Elephas maximus indicus: one gene and its partner. The protein of the gene in region 1 interacts with the protein of each later gene in a pairwise test. Links are inferred from orthologs where the notes say so. Each region holds a gene or a part of one and is shown in the gene's direction. Other genes may lie near its edges.

Region 1 (7,370 bases):
ATTCTCCCTCACTTCAGGGACAGGGTGTTCCAGACCCCCAGCTCCTCTCCGGGTATCAGGGTCCCCTGGCTCATTGCCATCGAGTTGATTCTAACTCATGGAGACCCTGTGGGTGACAGAGTAGAACTGTGCTCTTTAGGGTTTTCTTCGCTGTAATCTTCATGGAGGCAGATTGCTGGCCTTTCTTCTGGGGCACCACTGGGTGAGTTTGAAGTGCCAACCTTTAGGCTAGTGGTGGTGGTGGTGTTAGGTGCCATTGAGTAGGTTCCGACTCAGCGACCCCATACACCACAGAATGAAACACTGCCCAATCCTGCACCATCCTCATAATCGTCGTTACGCTTGAGCTCATTGTTGTGGCCACTGTGTCAGTCCGTCTCCTTCAGAGTCTTCCTCTTTTCCGCTAACCCTGTACTTCACCAAGCATGAAGTCTTCCAGGGACTGATTCTTCCTAACAACATGTCCAAAGTATGTAAGGTGCAGTTTCACCACCCTTGCTTCTGAGGAGCATTCTGGTTGTACTTCTTTCCAGACAGATTTGTTCATTCTTTTGGCAGTCCATGGTATATTCAATATTCTTCGCCAGCACCACGATTCAAAGGCATCAATTCTTCGGTTAATTCTTCTTCGTAGGTTGGTAGTTGAGAGCAAACCATTTGCACCACTCAGCCCAGGGACCTGGTTCATAATGATGTTAGGTGCTGTAGAATCGCTTGTGACTCATAGTGACCCCAGGCAATAGAGTAGAACTGCACATAGGACTTTACTGGCTGTAATCTTTACGGAAGCAGATCACCAGGTCTTTTCTCCCCTGAGGAGCCAGCTAGTGAGTTTGACCTGCTGACCTTTCAGTTAGCAGCCAAGTTCTTAACCGTCATGTCACCAGGGCTCCTTTGGAACATAATGTTGTGTGCTGTCAATTCCCATCCTATAGGACAGAGTAGAACTGCCCCATAGGGTTTTCTTGGCTGTAATCTTTACAGAAGAAGACGGCCAACTCCTTTCTACAATAGAGAGGCTGGTGGGTTTGAACCGCCAAACTTGCGGCTAGCAGCTGAGTGATTAACCTTTTCGACACGAGTGCTCTTGTGGTATGTAATAGGTGATCAAGAATTAATTGCCGAATGATCATCACGTAATTACTGTTTTCCATCACCCTACACCCAACCCTCCAGCGTCCCCCACCCTCCCCCAAATCCAGGCAACACCACTTCCCAATCTGGCGGCACCTTTCCAGAGACCCAAAGCCAGCGCCTTTATCCAGGGCCGTCCCCCCAGCCCATCGTTTCTGTGGAGGGAACCGCTCCCAGCTGCCCTCTGGAACAAGTTGGAACTGTACCGAAGGCCCCAGGAGCTGGATCAGGATCTGGCCTCCACCAACCACTGTGTTCACTCCAGCAACTACCTCCTATCCTCAAGCCTCCCCCACTCAAGGTCAACATTTGTCTGGTTTCCTGGGGAGCCTTCTGATCTGGCTCCCTTTCCTCTAGCTAAGCCGTGACCCACAGAGGTACCCCCTCCAACTCCAGGATGCCTTGGAGATGAGTCCTGTGAGGGCCGCAGCTGGGCCCAGCAAAGAACGCCCAGAAGTCTGTCCCTAGAGGGAATGAATGAGATGAGCTAGGGCATCCTGACTCCGGCAGGCGTCCAGCTTTCGCAGCTGGCCCAGCAAGGACACGTTCGCCAGCGACTGCAGGTTCACGTAGCTCAGGCTGAGCCGCTCCAGGCGGCTCAAGTCCGCTGTGAGATCAGTCAGGTGCCGGCCCTCTGCCCGGCAGTTGTCCAGCACCAGCTCGGTCACCTGCGGGTGCCGGCTCGGTTACCCGCACGCCAGGCTGGGCGCCGGGAGGTGGAGGCTCCTTCCTGGGCGCGTCCCCGGACCCTGGGTGGAGCACCCGCAGTCCCTGCCAGCCCTGATCCCGGGCTCCGGACTCTGCGCCCCCCCCCCAGGCGGCCCCCCCTACGCGCCCCCCGGATTGGCCGCCCACGTGCTCAGACTACCCCCGGCCTCGGACTGTTCGGACCACGTGCGGCTGAGCCTGGCCCTCGGTTGCCCGGGTGTCGCCACCCCTGACCCGGGCAGCCAGCCACATGGCCCCGGGCTCCTGCGCAGGGACCGGGCGTGCCAGCTTCAGCTCTCTGCGCACTTCAGGCCCCTCGCCCCCCGCGCTAGGACACCCGAGCGTCTAAGTTCCCAGGCCTGGTCCCCTCCCCAGTCCACAGTGTTCCAGGCTGCGCCCCAGCGAAACCCCGCTCCCCAAGGCGGATCCTGCCCCCTGATAACTTCTGCTGGGTTCCGATTCCGCAGCTGCAAGTGGAGCCGCTTGTCCATGTCTGGCCTCGCGGACCCAGGCCCCAGCTCCACAGGGAAGGCGCCAAACACACAAAGGGGGGGGGATACGCCCCCTGGTGGCCGTGCTGGGACCGCGCGCCCACACCTGCTTTCCCCGGCCTGCCACACGCACCGCCCGCTGGCTCCCCTGCCCACGAGTCACCAGCTGTCAGTCCTTTCGCTGACCTTGACTGAGCATCTACTGTATGCTCTTGGCCAATAATCATTTGTTCTTTTATTCATGCATTCCCTTACCAAACATTCCGTGCGGTGCTTTTCCAACCAGCCTTTGCTGGCTGAGGCTGGAGACCCAGAGGACCCTGGCTGGGCCCTGTTTGGAAGGGGCCCTACACCTGCAAAGTGGCCTGGAGGCTCCGGAATCCCGAGGCTGTGCTCTTAATGCAGACACAGAAATGAAGGTGCTGCCAGTTCCCTTCTGAAGGGCAGAGGATGAAGGCAGAAGGCACCGTCCTCAAGACAGGCCGGCTTGCCTTCCCTGTCTGCCCCTTCTTCAAATAAGCTCATTCCCACCTCACTACTCAAAGTGTGGTCTTTGAACCAGCAGTCCCGGCATCACTGGGGGGCCTGGGGAATCAGGCCCATCGTGGAGCTGAGTCAGAATCTGCATCTTAGCAAGGTTTCTGGTGCTGCTCAATGTAGCTGCAGATTAGAATCAGCTCTGCAGGCCTAAAACATCCTCGTACCCAGGCCACAGGTGGCTGGCTGGTGCGAACAGTCAAGTGCCTATTAGCCCAAAGGTTGGCGGTTCAAACCCACCCAGAGGTGCCATGGAAGTCAGGCCCGGCCATCTGCTTCCAAAAGGTCACAGCCTTGAAACCCTATGGAATACAGTTCTACTCTGCACATATGAAGCTGCTGTGAGTCGGAATCAAATCGACAGGAACTAACAACTTAAGGCAGTATTGTGGAAGAAAGTTCTGGCAATCTGCTTTTGTAAAGCTTACAGCCAAGAAAAGCCTACAGAGCAGTTCTGCTCTGTACATGTGGGGTCGCCAAGACGTGGGATCCACTGGAAGGCAACTAACAACAGCCCAAGCCACACCCAGACCAGTTAAGTCAGAATCCATGCAGGGTTTTGTCTTGTCAACTCCTCAGGGAATTCCAATGTTCTGAACTGGAGGCTTTCCCCGTGAGGTTGCAGACCTCCAAGGACAGGCCCCTGTCAGTACCTGCCTTTATCTGGCTGGACTGGTCCTTCCCATTGCCTCCAGCTCCTCTCTGCCACCTTGTTGCCCTCTGTCACCTCTGGTTCCTCCCCTTCACACTTTCAAGAAGGGAAGTGATGGGCTGGGGTGTCCTCAGGCCCCCTCTTCCCCCCTCTCCCCCCCGTGGGCAGGGCATTTGACCACTTCCATCACCACAACCAAATCCGCCACCCTGGCCAGGTCCTGTGCCAGCTTGTCTGCCCTAGCCCTCTAGCCTCGCAGTGTGACAGGGAAGTCTGGGTCCGAGCTGGGAAGCAGCTGGTGGGGAAGCGTTGAAATGCGGAAGGTGAGTGAGGCAAGAGGGCAGGCAATAGGCCTCAGACAGCACACCCCTCCCCTCTCCCAGCTCTTGGGGGCTCCCCAGGTCTGACCATGCCTTTCTCCCACCCAGGATGCCCCATCGGAGGCTCCAGCCAGGGCTGGATTCCCCTGGGGCCTTTCTCTCTGGAGGCAGAAGGCCCCCAAGGCCTGGCACTGAGTACCCCCGGGGGAGAGGGCAACAGAGAGTTAACAAGCTAGGGCCCCTGTTGGGCATGGATACTGCCCAGCACCTGAAGCTCAGGGACAGCAGCAGCAGGTGGGACAGGAACTCAAGGGGGACAGAGGTACCTGCAGGATCTAAGGACAGGCTGGGGTAGTCCCCGCCTCCTTTCCTTCCTCCTCTGCCTTCCACCAGCAGCCCCCACCCCTGAGAGCTGGCCAGAGCAGAAGCCACAGTCATTTCCTGAAGGCAGCAGCCCGGCGCGGGTCCCACGCGCCCCAGCCCGTCACCTGCCTGCAGCCATGGTGAGTCCCCAACCCCGGGAGAGCCCCATACCTGAGGTAGCGAAGGAGGAGCAATGGGTAGTAGTGGGCACATTGTAGGAGTGGAGAGCCTAGGAGTGGGGCTGAGACCCGGAAAGGGCCCTAAGGTAGGAAGCAGCTGGGCGCAGCTCCAGGGCAGCTCGGGCTCTGAGGGCAGGCCAGGCTGGGCTGTGACTGCAAGGGGGACAGGTGGGACAGCCCAGGACCACTCCCCACCTCCCAGGTCAGCATGAGCAGCAACCTGGTCACGGGAGGCCGGGATGAGAGTAGGGACTTCCTGTGGCGTGACAAAGTGGGTCATACATCATCACCTCCCATCCCCATCTCCCTTTCACCTGAATCATGACCTGCTGATCCTGATTTATCAGGCCTTGTGGTCACTTGGGAACCCTGGACTCAGCCAGCCCAGCTGGGGGCTTGACCAGAGACGGTTCAGGCCCCTGGCGGGGGTCCTCGTCTTTCCAAGGGGTGATCCGGACCCCCTGGCTCTCCCGACAGGGAGAGTGAGGCAAAGGTCAGGCCAGTCCTTCCCTCTTCCCGCTTGTTGCCTCCTCCTCCCCCAACCTTACTGACCCCCAGAAAGCCAGGCTCAGGGGTCTGATGCAGGGCCACCTGGGGGGAATTTATAGGTCAGAAAGGGCCTGCCCTACTTGGGCGCCTGCCCGTGCCTGTCGCCAGGAGCCTTCCGCAGCATTGTGGGCTCGTGCAGCGCCAGGGAGGGTGCCTGAGGTGGACTGTTTGCCGCTGCTGCCTGGTGTCTGTGACGTGTGCCTGTGCTTAGCCCAGGTCCGTGTGTCCCTCCACACATGTCCACGTGGGTCTGTAACAGACTGTACATGGTTGAGACGATACCTTTGTGCTTCTCTGTGTATTTTCATTTAACAGACATTTACTGAGCACCTACTTCGTGACAGGCACTGCGAAGATGACAGCCCTGGCGGCACTTACATTCTTCCAGGGGCGGAGGGTGGGGGTAGAGGCAAAAAAACAAACAAAACAAAAACTGTCAGGACACATAAAAAATGTGTGCGTGTGTGTCCGTGTATGTATAAAAGGCATGACACACGGTGGCAGCTGCTAAGGGAAAAATCACGTAGGTAGTACAGAAACAAAAAGAACAGCTGCTGGCACGTCAGCTCCAACTCACAGCGACCCCATGTGTGTCAGAGTAGAACACTGCTCCATAGGCCCTTTCCACAAGTAGATTGTCAGGTCTTTCTTCTGAGGTGCCTCTGGGAGGACGTGAACCACCCACCTTTTGGTTAGCAGACAAGCAGGTTAACTGTTTACACCACCCAGAAACGGCTGCCTTCGAGTGAACTCCGACTCATGGCGACCCCGTGTCAGAGCAGAACTGTGCGCCCTGGGGTTTCCAGTGGCTGATCTTCCGGAAGCAGGTCAATGAGCCTTTCTTCTGGGGTGCCTCTGGGTGGATGTGAACCACCAACCTTTCGGTTGGTAGCTGAGAATTGAACTGTTTGCGCCATTCAGGGAACTCAGTACTGGGGAAGGGGAACCAATTTACAATATGGCGCTCCGGGAAAACCTCTCTAATAAGCAAATACTGGAGGAGGAAGAGGAAAGAGCCACGTGGTGGAGAAGAGTGTCCCAGGAGAGGGGAAGGGCAAGTTCGAAGGCCCCAAGATGGGAGGGAAGGTAGTTCAAGGAGCAACAAGGGGAGTGGAAGGAGGCAGTGGGGAAGGAGGTGGCCCTGGGACTCGACGAGGGGCTTCAAGGGCACTTGGGACAGAGCCAGGGCCTTGCCGAGGCCTCTGGCGTTTAGTGGGCACTCGAGGAACCGCAGCAGGATTGGAGCAGCGGGAGCTGGGGCCTAACGGGCGTCCTGTGGCTGCTGTGGAGGGTGGGGAGGGGAACTGACGGAGGTGGTGAGGGAAGGGTGGGGGCCTGGAGGAGCCTGTTATAATCCAGGAATGGAGGCAGGGTCCTTGGGCCTGGTGACAGTGGTGAGGCTGTGAGATGTGTTTGGATTCCAGATGGTATTTGGAAGTTGGAACAGAAGGAACTGGAGAAACGGGGTATGAGAGGAGGAGGGCGTCAGGGATACCGGGAAGACACCATCACTGAGAGAGGACTGTGGGGGCAGCAGGCTGGGGAAACCAGGCAATCGGGCGCTCAGGTCCTGCTGGTGAGTGGGGGTGAGGGAGGGCATAGTTACAGGAGCCTGGAGCTCAGAGAGTCATCCTTGGGTGCTGCAAATGGTTAAGCAGCTGCTAGCTGAAAGGTTGGCAGTTTGAACCCACTCAAGGTGTCTCAGAAGAAAGGCCTGGCAATCTGCTTCCAAAAGGTCACCCCTGAAAACCCTTTGGAGCAGCTCTACTCTGCACACATGGGATTGCCATGAGTTGGAATGACTCGACGACAGCTGGTTGGGTTTTATTTTGTTTTGGGCTCAGGGGGAGGCTGAAGAAAAAAATATGGGGGATCCTTGAAAGAGAAAGGCATGAGGGCTGAGGCCAGGGAAGAGAAGCCTGGGGATGGTGATGGTGGTGCGTGTCTATGACATTGTCTATGTGTGTCCCCACGACCCTCTGTATCAGAGTCACCGCCTGACTGGCTCCGTGTCCCATAGGAGGGCCATCAGGACTTCCGGAGCCTCCAAGCAAAGTTCCAGGCCTCTCAGCCCGAGCCCAGTGAACTCCCCAAGAAACCTCCGAAGCTTGAGTTCAACAAACTGCCCAAGTTTCCACAGCCTGTGCCAGGCGAGCACCCCAAGAAGGCCTCACAGCCCGAATTCACTGATCACCCCAGGAAGCCCTCGCAGCCTGAGTTCAGTGCGGGCCCTAAGAAGGCCTCGCAGCCTGAGTTCCCTGATCACCCCAAGAAGCCCTCGCAGCCCGAGTTCAGTGCAGGCCCCAAGAAGGCCTCACAGCCTGAGTTCACCGATTACCCCAGGAAGCCCTTGAAGCCCGAGTTCATTGCGGGCCCTAAAAAGGCCTCGCAGGCCGAGTTCACTGATCACCCCAGGAAGCCCTTGCAGCCAGAGTTC
Region 2 (7,495 bases), on another chromosome or scaffold:
AGACAGCCTCCCCCAGCAGCCCAGAGGCCAGCAGGGGCCCTATTTTCTGTCTGCTGACAGTGTGTGAGGGGCTCCAGTGACAAGAGGGTATATTTTCTGCATGTTGTGCTGCTGGACTCCATTCTTGGCTGCTCTGCATCTCTTTAGATACCCTTATCTTATCTAATTACAAGGAATTTCAGATTAATTTCTTAGCCTCTGCTCCAAAGGACCTCTTATCAGTGAGGGCCTTGCACTTTAACCTTGTCATTCTTTTGTTGTTTGCCTTTAAGGGGGGGGCACCTAAGATCTTGCTGGAATTGGGGTTGGGGGGGAGGGGAGAAAGAGGGAGGAGACAGACCTGGGATTTGTGTATTCTGCTCCATTCCCCCCGCCTGTGTGCAGAGACAGCTGGCTGCTTACTTCCATGACAGCCACGTGGTACCCAGCCACACAGAACAGGACCTGGGCAGGGACTCATCTGCTGCCAACCTCTTCGGATCCCTTTGATATTTCTGACAGAGCAGTAAAGGACTCTTGACTATGATGGTTTGCCTTGCCTCTCTCCACCTCCTCTAAGACTCCTTGATGTGGTTTCCATGGCTACCCCCAATCAGATTTGGCTTCCTTCGAAATTGGATTTCAAAGAAGGACAAGGTTTCAAAGGAATTTGTCCATTTAACAGAATGTCATTAGGAGTGAGGCTGACTGCTGAACTAGGGTCCTCAGATGATTAAGAAGGGGCTGTGCTCATGTGTGGAGGCAGGTTTCTGTCTGCAATGAGGAACCTTGATGCAACATGACAATACCGTACTGGAATCTGCCAGTCAGCCACCACATGCTATCCAACCCTGTGCCTCTCTCTACCCCTACCTCTCTAAAACCCAGAGATTCCTGTGGGGAGGAATGGATGTAGAATACCTATGCAGTGAGTTTCTGCTCTTTCCCTTGGTATAAGTAAGCTCTGACAGGCAGTGAGGCCTTTGAGGATGTGCAATTACCTGGGTTTATTGCTCCTTATCAAAAAACTCATTAGCTTGTAGCCTATATTAGCAGGTGACACAATATCTTTGAAGAAGGGGGGTTGTTGAATTTTTCTTTCACTCCTGAGAGGGGAGGCAAGGCAAAGTGCTGAGGTGCCATATAGGAGGGGTTTTGTTTCCTTAAAGGAACCATACCATGGTGGCACAGTGGTTAAAGCACTTGGTGGCTGACCAGAAAGGCCAGTGATTTGAAACGACCAGCTGCTCTGAGAGAGAAAGATGTGGCAGTGTGCTTCTGTAGAGATTAAAACCAAAAAAGCCAAACCCGTTGCCATCAAGTCAACTCTGACTCATGGCAACCCTACAGGACAGAGTAGACCTGCCCCATAGAGTTTCCAAGGAGCGCTGGGTGGATTCGAACTGCTGACCTCTCTGGTAAGCAGCCATAGCACTTAACCATTATGCTACCAGGGTTTCCCTGTAAAGATTATAGCCTTGGAAACACTATGGAGCAGTTTTACTCTGTCCTACAGGGTCACTGGAAACCCTGGTGGCGTAGTGGTTAAGTGCTACAGCTGCTAAAAAAAAAGGTTGGCAGTTTGAATCTAGCAGGTGCTCCTTGGGAACTCTATGGGGCAGTTAGTTCTACTCTGTCCTGTAGGGTCCATATAGGGCTGTTATGAAAGGAACTCACTTGACAGCAACGGGTTTTTTTTGGTGTAGGGTCACTATGAGTCAGAATTGACTCAACAGCAGTCGGTTTGGTTTTTGTTTCTTTTGCTGTTTTTTTTTTTTTAATAAATTATTTTTTAACACAGTTTTAGATTTACAAAAAAATTGTGATGATAGTACAGAGAGATCCCATATATCCTCCTTTGCTTTTTAACACATGGTAAAAGTACGAAAAAATGATTCAAGAACAGCTACAATTTTATAGAAGGATAGGCAATGAGGTTGGCGAAACTGCCTGGGGGCTACCTGGTAGTTTCTCAGGGGCCTAGAGGGGGCAGCTTGCCCATTACTACACCTTCCCAGGGCACGAAGGAGGACCAGCAGGAGCCAGATTCCCTAGAGACTCCAGCCAGCCTTCTATCCCCACCCGACAACTTGTTGTGGGTGGGTCATGTGACTCTGAAACCAAGGCACCATTCCTCTTCAAATCACAGGAAGCGAAAGTGTAAAGATGGCTCAAAGTCACTGCACCCCCTCAAGGATCAGGCCTCCAACCTTGAGGCTGTATCTCTAGAGGGGAAACTAGGCCAGAAAAGTAGGCACTGCTACCACCGTTTCTTCTGGCTGTTTCTGTCACCACCTCCCTGCTTTAAAAAGAACACATTACCATCGTGACCCTATCGGACAGAGTAGAACTGCTCCATAGGTTTTCTAAGGCTGTAATCTTTATGGAAGCTTTCTTCTATGGAGCGGCTGGTGGGCTCAAACCACCAAGCTTTCAATAAGCAGCTGAACACCTTAACCACTGCACCACCAGGGTTCTTCCCCTTCTTGCTTTAGTTCACCATTATTTCCCTCTGATGCCACCGTAAAAACCACTTCACTCATCTTCCCGATGTCCTCTCTCTTACCACTTCCAATCCTTCCCACATAGTCTGTGGGTTGAGTCTGAGAATAGAAAACTCCATCTTACAAAGAAGGAAAACGGTAGAGGTGAAGTGAGATATGTGAGGTCATATGCTACCACAGAACTCTGATTAGGTCACCTTCTACCTCAAAAATTGTCAATGGCTCCCCAATGCCCATTTGATTGAATTAAAAATCATTCAAGGCCTTTCACAATAGATTCAATTTATTTTGACACCATAGTATCCCTACGCCATCCAGTAAAAGAGGGCTACTAGTAAGCGACTCCACGGCATTGGGTTTTTGGTAGTTGTTCCTTAAGTAGTAGAGGGCTTTTCCATCTGTTTATTCTGGTCCTTCCACTTGGAAAGCGCTTCTGACCCTTCAACGTCTGGCGTGTTTTTCAGAGCCTATTTCAAATGCTACATGCACCACTAAACACACAGACACTTCCCTCCTTTTCTTATACCCATCTCCCTCCCACAGCATTTTAAACCTTTCTCACAGCACTTGGCCTACTGTAGTTTTTTTAAAAGTAAACTCTTTATTGTGAGGTAACTGTAGATTCACACGCATTTGTAAGAAATAATACAGAGATCCTGTTCACCCTTTACCCAGAGCCCCCCAATGGTAACATCTTGTAATACAGCATGGTATCACAACCAGGATACTGATGCCTATGTACTTCGAGTAAGGGGGAGAGAAACTCTCCCCTATGATCTTGGCCTAGCCTCTGTTCATTCTCCTGTTTGTCAGCTCTTAGAGGGAAAGGGCTCTGTACGCCTCTCTGTCAGCTTCCCTACCCAGATACCTGTTGTGGATTGAATTGTGTCCCCCCAAAGTATGTGTCAACTTGGTTAGGCCATGATTTTCAGTATTGTCTGATTGTCCATTTTGTCATTTGATGAGATTTTCCTATGTGCTGTAAACCCTATCAATATGATGTTAATAAGATGGATTATTAGTGTCAGTTATATTGATGAGATCTACAAGACTAGATAGGGTCTTAAGCCAATGTCTTTTGCAATATAAAAGAGATTATCCAGTAGAGACATGGGGACCTCATACCACCAAGAAAGCAGTGCTGGGAGCAGAGCCTGTCCTTTGGACCTGAAGTTCCTGTGCTAAGACGCTCCCAGACCAAGGGAAGACTGATGTATCACAAGGACCTTCCTCCACAGCTGACAGAGACAGAAAACCTTTCCCTAGAGCCAGAGCCCTGAATTCAGACTTCTAGCCTACTGGGCTCTGAGAGAGTAAACTTCTCTTTGTTAAAGCCATCCACTTGTGGTATTTCTGTTACAGCAGCACTAGATAACTAAGTCAATACCCCTTCCTTTCTCCATATCCTTTCAACCTTAGAGGGGGACGCTTTGTCTTCCTGAGTCCATTGCTGCTGCTTCCGCTCCAACTCTCCCAAATGTTGGTGGCTTCATATAATTTACCGGGACTTAAAATCATTCCCTTTAAACATCCAGGTTTACCTGAGATAGAGAACGTTCTGCCTTAGTTTTCTGAGCAACGACGGTGTGGACGGGATCAGGAATTGAGTGGCGCTTCTTGGCTTGGACTAACCTCTTTCTCGGGTTCCGCCTGTTCACACCCTCTTTCAGGCATCTCTGTGGCGTCCAAGCCTTTAGGCCAACTGTTCAGTGCTTAGGTCGGAAAGTCTCAAAGAGACTTGGTTCCTTTGAGTCTTGTGAAGTCCCTCGTTTTGGCAACCGGCCTGTGGGGAAACCTGTCGGCCTCCACGGTGCGGCCCTCCCGCCCGTCCATCCTCGCCACCAGCGGACCTCAGAGCCCCGGTGACGGTGCCGCGCGCCCCCCGCGCGGGCACGCCACGCCCCCACCTCCGGGCTGCGCCCCCGGCCGCGAGCTCCACGGGGGGCGCCCCCCGGCCCGCCGCGCGCGCCACTTCCTGAGCGCGCCCCGGGATCACGGCCCCGCCCTGCGGCTCGGCCCGGCTGCTGCGGCGGGCGACGACGGCAGAGGTACAGGTGCCTCCGCGGCGGTCTCCCCTCACCTTCCAGCCCGCCGGTCTTTGGAACAGGCCTTCACGCCCCTGTCCTGTCTCACACGCCGGCCTTCCTACCGTCCCCGCCAAATGCAGGCCACCGTCACTCTCCCTGAGGAGGTCTTTTGGCTCCTGGAAGGTAACGCCCTGGCCCAGCCCCCAGCTCCCTCCCTCCACCCCCCGGGAAGTCCCTCAAGTGCTGAGCTGAAGGGAGGAAAGGAGACACCAGGGGCTCCCAAGGCCAGGCTTTCTCTTTAGCTCCTTCACTCAAGGCTTCTAGAATCTTCAAAACTAGGTTTTCATCCACTCACTTCAGGGTCCCTTTCTCTCTCTCCAATTCCACATTTTCTTTTTCCTCAAGGCGTCTTTACTACACATAACCTCCCCAACTTCTAAACTCCTCCAGGCCAGGTTGTTGGCCCCTTACCTGTCATTTCCCCCTTAGGACCACGCCCTACATCCGCAGGCTTTCTCCCTTTTCATCACCACCCCCCGCCTGCCCACTTCCATCACCTTTCACAGAAGATCCTCACCTTCCTGCTTAGAGGCCCCTGAGGTTCTGTGAAGGACTCCCAGGGTGAGCCTTTGTTGGTCGAGGCCTGGTGGTTCATCTTAGTTTTTTTGTCAGTGCTGAAACGCCAGGCCTCACTTTATCAGCCTGCAGATTTCTAGGGGGTCTCAATGCTGAACCCAAGTCTAGCTAGAGTTGTCCCATTGTGCTATGTTTACTTTGAAACTATAGTGTCTAAGCAGTCTTTTTAGAAGGTTGAGGCCATACTAACACTCAACACGTACTTCTAACGCTCTAAAGAGACTTTTCCTTAATGGGCAGTATCATCTGCTCAGGTCACACTTTTCCTGGTGAAAGGAAGTTTTACTTGTTTTCCTGTAGCTGACCTTCTAGGAAAGACAGAGATTTGGAGTCTGCAGTTAAATAGGGTCTCAGGAGGAAACCACTTAGAATTAAGCTTTTTGGCATCTAAGTGACATTTTGGCACATACGTAACAGATGGCCTTCTTTGGGCAGGTCATGCTCTTGGCAAGCAGTAGTTTTTCGGTTTCTCTCAATTTAATTGGTTTTACCTCTCCATTACTTTGTTATTTTGATATAAATGCCTCCTAATCAAATATTTGGCAAGTTCTTTTGGTCTCTGCTTGTAGCGCCGTTTCCGCTCTGGATTTCGTCTATGTGAAAACCGTCAACTAGATATTTCTTCTGAGGTGAGGTTTCCAGAATCCATTTTAATTATGACCTGAGTGAGGCTAAAGTTTAGGAATAGAAAACTATTTGCAAGGTAAAAGAGAGTTATCTGGGTTTCTAAGAAGAAGCAATCCAGCCTTTTCCTCTAGTGTTGAGTTGGCTCTTGGTTCAATACTAGGCTTGTGACAAGAGGCTGTAAGTGTCTTTGGTTTCCAGGGTAGAAGAAACTGTGGCGAGAAGTTTAATTCTGCTCTTGCATTTAAAGATATAAAGTGATCCCTTTTTTGGTGTCTGTCATTTGATGAAACCTATCTTACAAGCTTGTTAAACTATACTTCAGTTTTGTGTGTAGCCTTGGTAGAAAATTCCTTTTTATTTTCAGAAGCTTGCGGTGAAACTCCTTCAGCATTTTTGATACGCAGTCCTGTATTGTTCAAAACTGACACTTTGGTAAACAACTCATTTCTGCACCTGCCACCTTCCTTTAACTTAGATTATATTCTTGTTAGCTGACTGTTTTTAATTGAAGTCTTCAGATCTCCTTCTAAAGTAGAACCTTTGTTTGCTGACAAGCAGAGCAGGCGATGAATGGAGATTAATTGCATGTCACATACTTCTGTATCAAACTTGCTGTGTCTTAACAATCTCTGTTGGTATTCAGGTCTTTAGGATACAAGGAGGAGTCTGAGGTTAAATTTTAAAGAGCATTGTATTTCTTTAAGGTTTTTTTTTTTTTTTTTAACTTTGCAATTAGAGTCTGAATCTCAGGTAGAGGGAAAAAAATGTAAAGTAGGATCCAGCCAGTGATCCTCTGGAAAATATTTGAAGACGGTTTTCAAGATTCATTTAGTAATACCAACTTATTGGCTGTAGGTTTAATTTTGTATGGAAAACAGTCTCTAGTGTAGACCAGCAGAATTACTCATTGTGTTACAAATAATTTGTGGATATTAGAAACCCAAAATGGCCATCAATTTATATCTATTGCTGTTTACTCATCTCCCCTTCTATTTAAGGTTAACCCTTGACAATTAGAAAATATGTAGGTCCCGATCTCTCTACAGTCACACAATGGAAGGGAGTCACAGGATGTAAGAGCAGCTTTACTGCTGCCACGTGGCCGTGGGGTGGAGTTTCCACGATGAATTACTACTTTCATAAACCAGGGCATAAGCCTTTGCACAGTGATTTAATGCTGGCCATCACAGCCATAACTTAAGCATTTATTTATTTATAACCACATGGGCATAAATGACAGGGGTGTTTTTTGACATAATGTCTGCTTTTAAAAATAAAATATGCAAAGCATTGTGAAAGGTTTATACCACACTTTTGCATAGTGAAGAAGGGAACAGAAATTCTGAAGGTTTAAAATTAATTTTTTGTAGCGATAAAATTTTAAACATTGGAAAATGTTTAATTTGAGAAACCCCATCTCTAGGAATCCATGTCACTGAAATTAAAGTGCATAAGGTACGTGCACAAAGATCCATCTTAAATGTCCTTGAGTTGGGAAAGAATGAGGGGATAGTTGAATGAATTAAGGGACATCCATATTACAGAATACTTTGCAGCCATTAAAAAGGATATGATACATCTGTATATATGAACTCCGAAAATGTCCATGGCATGTTTTTAAGACTGAAAAAAGCAAGATGCATATTAGTATATATAATACCCTATTTTTGTTTGAAAACAAACAAAACCAAAAAATCACCAAGTATATATGTTTGTGTAAGT

The links.
Region 2: the proteins of PRAM1 (region 1) and SKAP1 interact in binary tests that used the Homo sapiens proteins (3 or more experiments, as listed by UniProt). The two-hybrid records come from large-scale screens. The link is inferred for Elephas maximus indicus from reciprocal best matches to the Homo sapiens genes PRAM1 and SKAP1.

What each region holds. Positions count from the first base shown.
Region 1 is NC_064821.1:13,197,448-13,204,817, reverse strand, and holds the start of PRAM1 (PML-RARA-regulated adapter molecule 1), read left to right. Parts: upstream 1-4,369; 5' UTR 4,370-4,623; coding exon 4,624-4,877; intron 4,878-5,662; coding exon 5,663-5,760; intron 5,761-6,357; coding exon 6,358-6,509; intron 6,510-6,953; coding exon 6,954-7,370. UniProt on the Homo sapiens protein: May be involved in myeloid differentiation. May be involved in integrin signaling in neutrophils. Binds to PtdIns(4)P.
Region 2 is NC_064837.1:45,076,472-45,083,966, forward strand, and holds the start of SKAP1 (src kinase-associated phosphoprotein 1), read left to right. Parts: upstream 1-4,477; 5' UTR 4,478-4,644; coding exon 4,645-4,693; intron 4,694-7,495. UniProt on the Homo sapiens protein: Positively regulates T-cell receptor signaling by enhancing the MAP kinase pathway. Required for optimal conjugation between T-cells and antigen-presenting cells by promoting the clustering of integrin ITGAL on the surface of T-cells.